Linked DNA regions of Cricetulus griseus. The protein of the gene in region 1 purifies or fractionates together with the protein of each later gene. This does not show direct contact. Links are inferred from orthologs where the notes say so. Each region holds a gene or a part of one and is shown on either strand. Other genes may lie near its edges.

Evidence for each region.
Region 2: the proteins of Pop7 (region 1) and Rpp38 purify together in Homo sapiens (co-immunoprecipitation; 3 studies listed by BioGRID and IntAct, with this or other methods). This does not show direct contact. The link is inferred for Cricetulus griseus from reciprocal best matches to the Homo sapiens genes POP7 and RPP38.

Annotation. Positions count from the first base shown.
Region 1 is NC_048597.1:116,424,675-116,428,424, reverse strand, and holds Pop7 (ribonuclease P protein subunit p20), read left to right. Parts: upstream 1-1,568; 5' UTR 1,569-1,711; intron 1,712-1,849; 5' UTR 1,850-1,857; coding exon 1,858-2,280; 3' UTR 2,281-2,509; downstream 2,510-3,750. UniProt on the Homo sapiens protein: Component of ribonuclease P, a ribonucleoprotein complex that generates mature tRNA molecules by cleaving their 5'-ends. Also a component of the MRP ribonuclease complex, which cleaves pre-rRNA sequences.
Region 2 is NC_048596.1:220,625,027-220,630,166, forward strand, and holds the start of Rpp38 (ribonuclease P protein subunit p38), read right to left. Parts: upstream 3,593-5,140; 5' UTR 3,458-3,592; intron 3,277-3,457; exon of another isoform or gene 3,142-3,276; intron 2,534-3,141; 5' UTR 2,415-2,533; intron 774-2,414; 5' UTR 764-773; coding exon 1-763. UniProt on the Homo sapiens protein: Component of ribonuclease P, a ribonucleoprotein complex that generates mature tRNA molecules by cleaving their 5'-ends. Also a component of the MRP ribonuclease complex, which cleaves pre-rRNA sequences.

The sequences.
Region 1 (3,750 bases):
TAGGGACCCAGCTCTGATCCTTAGGCTTTGAAGTAGATGACTTTACTTACAGACCCTCCAGCCTTGAAATGCTAATGGACTACAATTTATCTTCATCCCCCATCCATCTCTGGACTTGTTTTGACTAGTCTATTGGAATTTATTTATATTTTATGCACATTAGTGTTTTGCCAGGGGTTTCAGGTCCTCTGGAACTGGAGTTACAGACAGTTGTGAGCTGTCCTGAGTGCTAGGAATTGAACCTAGATCCCCTGGAAGAGCAGCCAGTGCTCGTAACTGTCGAGCCATCTCTCCAGCATTTGACTAGCCTCTTGAAGGGTTCCCTCATAGTTTCTCCGAATGGTTTAAAGTTAACAGCTTCGTATTTAGATCCATTGCCCATGTCATGGTCTCCCTCTTCATACATTTTAGTATAAATTTACCAGGATGGCACAGTGGTGCATACCTGTAACGCTAGCTAGCACTGGGCAGGCCAAGACAGGAGGAACATGAGTTCTAGGCCAGCCTGAACCAGATAGCTAAACCCTATCCTCACCACCCAAAAAGATTCCTGGTTTACATCTGCAACTCTGAGGATTAACCTAAAAATGGCATTAAATATATAGACCAACTTGGAGCAAATTGATGTCTAGAATGTTAAGCCTCTCATTTCAACATATATCCCACAGGCTAGGCATGTATCTCAGTTTGATGGTGCCTGCTGATCCCAGCACTCCCAAGGTGGAGGCAGGGGATCACAATATCACGGTCGCCTGGTGGCACATGCCGTTAATCCCAGCACTCGGGAGGCAGAGGCAGGCAGATCTCTGTGAGTTCGAGGCCAACCTGGTCTATAGAGCAAGTTCCAGCACAGCCAGGGCTACACACAGAGAAACCCTGTTTTGGGGGTAAAAAAAAGTTGGCGGTCATCTTTGGCTATGCAACACGGATCAGAGTTCTCTTTCCAACCTCCGATGAGATTCTGCCTCGGCAGGTGGTCTGGGGCTGTAGTAAGAGGTCCCAATACAGGTTTACTCCCGTCTGTAGGGAACTCTCCAAAGGCCTCACCAGTCTGGGCTGGGAGCCCAATTATTGCAGTCCCCGTCCCTCCCGCCAGGGGGCAGCGCGGCGGGAAGCTGCAAACGCCTGGCACCCAGTGTGGGCCCCTCGCGCGGGGCGTCCAGGGTGGACATCCGGCCGTGCGGGGCCGCCAGGACCGAGCTCGGGGGCTCAGCTGTAGATCCCGCGGCTCCCGGTGCGGTGACCCCGGCCCCGGGGACCCCGGCTCCTGCAAGGGCCCGAACCCCTGCCCAAACTGCAAGAGCCGTTTCCGGCTCGGGTGCTCGAGTCCCGACCAGCGGGGACACCCGCACCACGCCCCTCGTAGCCCCGCCCCCACCGATTAGTCCCACCTCCGACAGCTAGCCCCGCCCTCGACGCCCTCCGGGCCAGACCGCCTCGAGTCAGGAAGTCTCGCGAGACTGAAGTTCCCTTGCGCACGCGCACGAGGACGGGGAGGGGGCGGGAGAACGGAGGCCGGGAAGGCTACGAGCCGAGCGATTCCGGCTGGGGAACGGGGACGCGCGTGCGCAGTTCGTAGCCCCGGTTCTCCGGCACGGCGCTCCTGCTCCCATCGCTTCTTCCTTCTTCTTCCGAGTGTCCTGAGCAGCGGCGTCCCGGGGGAGCGGTCGGCGAGGCGCTCGCGAGCGAAGGGCGCTGTGGCGGGGAGAAGGTAGGCGCGGGAACGCCGGGAGCGGGAGCCACGTGATGAGGGAAGAGAGCGGAAGTGGCGGGCGGGAGGGCGGTGGGGGCGGGGGCGCCCCCTGCCGGCCGCCCGGAGGGACCGCCCGGTCATTGTCCCCCACGCCAGCACTCAGCATGGCCGAGAACAGGGAGCCCCGCGGCGCCGTCGAGGCCGAGCTGGACCCCGTGGAGTACACCCTCCGGAAGCGACTTCCCCACCGCCTGCCCCGGAGGCCCAATGACATTTATGTCAACATGAAGACGGACTTTAAGGCCCAGCTTGCCCGCTGCCAAAAGCTGCTGGACGGAGGCAGCAGGGGGCAGAGCGCCTGCGCCGAGATCTACATCCACGGCTTGGGTCTGGCCATTAACCGCGCCATCAACATCGCCCTGCAGCTGCAGGCGGGCAGCTTTGGGTCCCTGCAGGTGGCTGCCAACACCTCCACCGTGGAGCTGGTGGATGAGCTGGAACCAGAGATTGACTCTCGAGAGCCACTGACCAGGATCCGGAACAACTCGGCCATCCACATCCGGGTCTTCAGGGTCACGCCTAAGTAGATGGAGTGAAGCCAGACTGTCATACACCAACTCCTGGGAGCACACACATCCGGGCGTCATGTGGCTGAGGTTGCTGCTAGTTCATAGGACTCTTGTTCTCATATGGACCTGTTGTCAGAGCCTTGTAAGAAAAAATATGTTACCTCAGCCTAGAGGACGGTAAACGAGCCCAAGAAATGAATCCTCTTTGTCTTGTACAATAAAAGAATCAAGTTGTGTTGGTGCCAGGCTTCCGCGTATAATAATTCTGTGTGTGCTTGAGTAGGAACAGTAGGAAACTACAAGTACTTAGGCACAGGAAAAGAACCCACACTGGGTCACAGTGTGACATGGGTCAAATTTGTTGACTTACAGTTGAGCTCAGTTACAGCGTGCTCACGGGAAGACTAGAGAATAGACTCATCTACCAAGCTGACTGCAGCTGGGGTGGATAAGGCTTGGGAATAGAGAAGGTTTGAAGGTGAAGGAAGTGGGTTGTGGTATGACTCAATGGGGGAATTGTGACTAGTGTTACCTAGGTGCGCAGCACGGGGTTGGGCACCAGGTTCATCCCCTAGTAACCACAGAGTTAAGATGGAGAAGGTCGGGGAGATGCTCAATGGGAAAAGCACGAGCCCCACACACAGTCATAAACAGGATCCATTTCACACCAGGCACTCAGTACTCAAATCTAATTCCCACGATTCTCTAGGGAGATGAGCACCAGACAGGAGGATCCTCTGGCCAGTGAGTTAGCCACCCTGGCATAAACCGGCAAGAACCGGGCATTGGTGGCGTTGGTGGCATTCGCCATTAATCCCAGCACAGGGGAGGCAGAGGCAGGCAGATTTCTGTGAGTTCAAGGCCAGCCTGGTCTCCAGAGCAAGTGCCAGGATAGGCTCCTAAGCTACACTGAGAAACCCTGTCTCGAAAAACAAAAAACAAACAAACAAACAAAAAAACAAGAAATCCTGTCTCAAAGTGGAAGGTGAAGACTGATATCTGAAGTCCTTTGCTGTATACTGTAACACATGTAGCCATACTCACATAACATAGACATGCAAAAATAAAAAAAGATGAAGATTGTAGCTTTCTAAAATTAGCTTCCCTGAACTGACAGTTATGTTTGCTCTCAGTTTGAGTCAAACCTAGATAGAGGCTTTGTGTGCAAAGCAAGGGTAGCCATGCTGAGCCATGCTCCAGCTCTTCAATGGTGGATTCTAGGTACTCCTACTGAGCTAGGCCCCCAGCTCTCGAAACGGACACTTTTGACTGCTATACTTAATTCCTGTTCCTGCAGAGCCCTCATTTCTGGGCATCTTGAGACTAGAGTGAGATGAGACAGGTTAAGCTATTTCATGGGCAAAGGAAATCTAAGTAATTTATTATTGGTTATGGTGGTTAATCTTCATTGCCAGCCTGCTGCAATGTAAAACCACCCAGGAGACACACCTCTGGGCATTGTCTGTGAGGATCTTTCCATAGAGGTTT
Region 2 (5,140 bases), on another chromosome or scaffold:
GGGGTTGTAGTATTGTAGTGGAAGCCTGCCCACCTTCGGCAGGCTTTCTCTTACTAACTTTTGTAAGGTCATCAAATGAAGTGTCCAAAATCTCTTTGTCCCGGCTTTCCAAAGATTCTGTCTCTAAACTGTCTTTAGGATCTTGGGTTCTGTCTTGAAGCCATGGCACATGTAAGCTGGGCACCCTGGGAATGATAGCTCTTACTTCCTCAGCGAAGTCCATGGAGTTCTTTCTAAAGCCCAAGGCTAGCATACATTTTAAGCCAATGACAGGAGCAATTCTCTGGCTGAGCTGAGGAACCTGGCAAGCGGGCACAGTTCTGCTTATACTCAGCTGAATCATGTGTGAGGTGATGACAGCAGGCTTGACCGACTTACAAACTAGAACTAGGAGCAGTTCATTCCTCTCCAGAGCTCTGGTGACTTCATTAACGCCAATGACCAGCTGTTTTCTGACATGTGCGGGTGTCCACCCTGAGACCTGCACATTCCCATCGTGCTCCTCTTTCAGACCCTCACTAATCTCAACATCTGGGCTGCATCTTTGCTTTTTTACAAAAGGTGTTTTTTTCTTTTTATCTTCAATTTTCTTTAGTCCAATTGATTTAAATTTGTCTTCAAGTGTCTGTAATATAAAGTGTATGTCCTCTCTCTCCAAGGTGCTCCAGGAAATGACATACGGGTTGTTCAGTGATGTCTTTACAACCAGAGGTCTAGTCTTCCTAATAGATCCCCTCTTAGGTGCTTGAGGGGCTGCAGCCATCTTGAAAACCCTTCAGAAAGAAGCATTATCTCATGTTAGTAATGCATGCTCTGAGAATATTTTGGTTATATTCCAGTGTTTTCTTGTTTTTTACTCCAAACTGATAGGCAAGTCTAATTATATAGGCCCAACTAGGTAGCCATGAACATAACTTCTCTGGTAAAATGAAGTAGTTATAATTTCCCCTATTTTTTTCCATGATACACAGGCAATGTGAGAATGACTGGTGTTAAGCTCAGAGGTTTAGCATCTTCTAAACTCTTAATTAGACTTCACTCATTTATTTTTAAAAATTAAGTTACTAGGATTGGGGATCATATCATAGAGCGTCAGAGGGGACAGCTCTATCAAAGTAGGTTCTCTCCTTCTACCATGTTGAATCACAGGGTAGAACTTGGGTCACAAGCATAGTGGCAAATGCTTTTACTCTCTGAAGAATCTCAAGGGCCCCTCATTCACTCATTCATCAGCCCATATACTCCAGTGGGCAGATGGTGTTCTAGGCACAGCTGCTGGTGGGCATCAAGACACTTGTGTCTGCCCACACAGAGCTTATCTGTAGTCTCTGAAATTCATAACTAACCAGATCAGGCTTTAAGAACCAAAAGTAATATATGTCCATGGCTAAAACTTATTCTGTACCCCTTTGTAAGTCTCCTTCAATGATCCCCAATTTCCTTCCTAAAACATACAGGCACATATTTTTCCCTTCATTAGATTATAAGATGACTGCTTTGACAGGCAATTTCATGAAAATTTGTGATGAAATTCAAAGAAATTAATCCATTAGGGAGAAATAAAAGGGCTGGGCTCCTTCCGAAAGCGTATTAGAAGCCATTGGCCTATTCATAATTTTCCTAGAGACTACAGATATGGTATTAGCCTTACAGACTCTTTAGGATGTTCTTGGTTGCTCTCTAGTTGGGTATTCATCTAGATCAGGCTTGTCCTTTCCAAAGGCAACTGCATACTTCCTTCTCTCAGTTATTTTCTCCTTCCTAGAGTTTATCTAAGAACTATAAAGACCCATTTAAGCAAGTCCCCTTTGATTAAGGTTCCTCCATTTCAGGGCACTTTCTCCAAATATATACCCAATTCCCTAACACACCTATAGGGTTCCTCAGTGTATGGGTTAGGAAGCTGACTCATGGCTCCATCTTCGAAATAACCTGTAGCTTATAAGAACATACAGATGGCTGGTTCCCACTCTAGAGCTACTGAGCTGTAGGAGTGCAGCCAAGTCATGGGTGCTGGTAAGATGTCCAAGTGAACTGAAAAAGAACCAGCATTTGGAAATGTTGGTTGTGGGACAGGTTGGCTTTCCAAACTGGACAGTCCCAAGAAATGGTGTTGCAGAATCACTCCGAGATCCTGATCCATAAAGCCAGAATTCCTCCCAGTGAGTGCTGCAACCTGGTCCTGTCAATGCTGCCCACTGCTACAGACATGGTCTGTTGATGCTTCCTTCCCCACACTGCACTGCACTCTCCCATTGGTCCCTTATTAGCTCTATGCTCCCCTCAGGCTCAGAGATTAAAGAACAGAAGGCCATCCAGATCTAGTGAGGTGACTGCCAGAAGCTGATATCTGGCTGTAGGTGGTCAGACAAAGTGACCAGGGAGCAAGACAACGGCCCCACCACAGTTCTTACCAACCGGCGATTCAGTTACTGTATGGGCCTAGCCCATCGGTTTACGAGGGACACTCACTCTTAGATACTCTGCAACCAAGGGACAGCAAGATTGGGATCACTTCTCTGATACACAGAACCTGGAAGGGAAGATGAAAAAAGTCAAGTCTGCATAAGGTGGCCGCCATGCAATATGAAAAAATGCTTAACAGCTTCATAGACAGGAAACCAGGATGGACATGTGCCTTGCCATCTGTGTCTGCAAGCTGCTGCTGCCTACGGGATCAACTGAAAACTCAAAGGTTTAGCTTTTACCCTCCCATTTCTCACAAGCCTTTCTCCTTTCACCCACCATGCATATTATAGATTCGGGCTATTTAATGAAACCTCTGGTGTCTCATGTCCTTATGCTCCGTGTATCCAGCCTAGGATACGACTCACATACCACATGCTCTCTCTTCGTCAAAGTCTTATGGATTATATCCTTGATGCCCTAAACCATTAGGCGTTGTGCAAAGCGAAGGCCTCTGCGGTTAATAAAAACGTCTCACTTTAAAAGAGTAGTAGTGATGTACCTTAGGGAGCAGAGAGGTGTGGCCTTAGCCGAGAGAGTCAGGAAAAGAAGGCTCTCTGGGGGAAATGAACGCTCTCTAAAGAATTCCTTCCAGACTAAGTAGAAAGGGGGCAGCGGGGTAACCCAGAAGAATATTCAGTGTCGCTGGGACAGAGATAAAGGCGTTGGAATTACCGGGTAGGGACAAGATGGAGAGTCTTGGCGGTGGAGTGGCGCGATTAGAAAGGCGTCACGGAAAGACCTTGATTCTGGGAAGGGACCTGGGAAAGGTTGTCAGCAGCAGAGCACCAGTCCCGTGGTCTCGGGAGAAGCAGAGGTACCCGCGTTTCGCCACGCAAAGGAAACCCCTCCGGAGGGAGACTGAGAACGCCGGAAGGGGCTTCAGGGAGACCTGGAGTGACCTCAGAAGCTGTCTGCAGCCCCTTTCCCACCACCCCGCGGTGACAGGGGTGCCCACGGGCTGGGACTCGGACCATAGGCGCTCGCCCACCTCTCCCGAAGCGCGCCCTGCGGAGACCACAAGACAGGGACTCCGTATCACGACTCCGCCGCCACTGGGGACCCGAGCGCCGGCTCCACGTGCGCCTGCGCTGCGCCTGCGCAGCCTGACCGCCTCCCTTCTGCATTACGTCACACCTGGTAAGGGACTTGAGCGGCAGCTTGTGACAGCAGGAAGTCCTTCCGTAAAATCCCTAAGCTCGGGACAGACCTCTGGAGCAGCACTGCGCAGGCGTATGATCTGTCTCGCGAGAGTCTGTGGTTGCTGTAGTAACCAGCCGCTCTCAGTCTGGACTGGTGGTGTAAAGATGGTCTAGCCACCGGTTCCTGGGTTCTGGTTCGTGGTTTAAGCACGATGGCTTCTGCCTTGGAATTCTGGCCCGCTATCTCTTTTCATTCTAGAATCGCAAAGCTCCAGCCCTTATAACCATTCATTCTCTGCACATGTCCCCGCGCCACGAAAATCAAATAAATAAGGGTTGTAGGGTTAGGTGTAATTACAATTTAGGTGGAGAATTTTGAGCCAACTCCAAGAGAAATAAGGGCGGCTTTCAATTCCACAGCAGTATTCCAGAATATTCCAGCAACATCTGTTCTGCCTTGGAGACAAAAATGGAGACAAAAAATGGTTATCAAGCCAAGCGGTGGTGGCACACGCCTTTAATCCCAGCACTTGGGAGGCAGAGGCAGGAGGATTTCTGCAAGTTCGAGGCCAGTCTGGTTTACAGAGTGAGTCCCAGAACAGCTAGCTAGGGCTACACAAAGAAATCCTCTCTGGAAAAACCAAAAGAAAAATATTGGTTATGAACAGGATCACTGGGGAGTTATGGACACTAGCAAAAGAGTGGGATACTGTGCCAACGATTTAAAAACCTAAATCTGTTGGCTACATTTGACAAAATGTTTTTATCCTTTCTGTCCTTTTCTAACGAATTTGGGTGGACTCAGGTCCTTCTCCATGCCTTCCTCCTGTTCTCAGTGTCTTCACTGCTCATTTTAGATTGTAAAACTTTAGAGTCTAGTATTTTCATTATACACCACCTACTGCACATAAATTAAACAAAACAAAAAGGGTTGCTTTGGGTCAAAGATTGTTGCAGTTTTTACAGGGAATGTGCTGTGGTTTTTATCACAAGCAGATTATCAAGAATAAAGCCAGCATGAGTTTTGAGTGTAACAACAGGCTTTTGTTTCATAAAACGTTCTTCACCCTTTTGCAGTCATGTGGCGCTGAAGACAAATTGCGATAGTCAATTGAAACACTAAAGGTTCACATAAAACCCTGGTGCTTGGGAGACTGAGTCGGGAATATGTAGAGTTCAAGGTCAGCCTGGACTGCTTAGTTCAAGGCGACCAACCTCAGCTACAGCCCACACCCCCGAGACACACACACACACACACACACACACACACACACGAAAGAATGAAAGAAGGAAGGAAAGGAAAAGAAAAGAAGAGGAAAAATGAGAGGCAAGAGGGGGAGAGAAACAGAAGTAAAAAGGTAAGCAGAAAAGAAGGCAATGGCTCTGTTGTTATCCCACTAAAGTTCCAGAAATAAAGTTTACCCATGACCTAACCTTTCACGTGATCATTTTTCTAGCTCCTACATTACAAAGCTTTGGAACCAGGCTGCTAAGTTGGAACCCTAACCTTACCACTAACTAGTGTACCTATG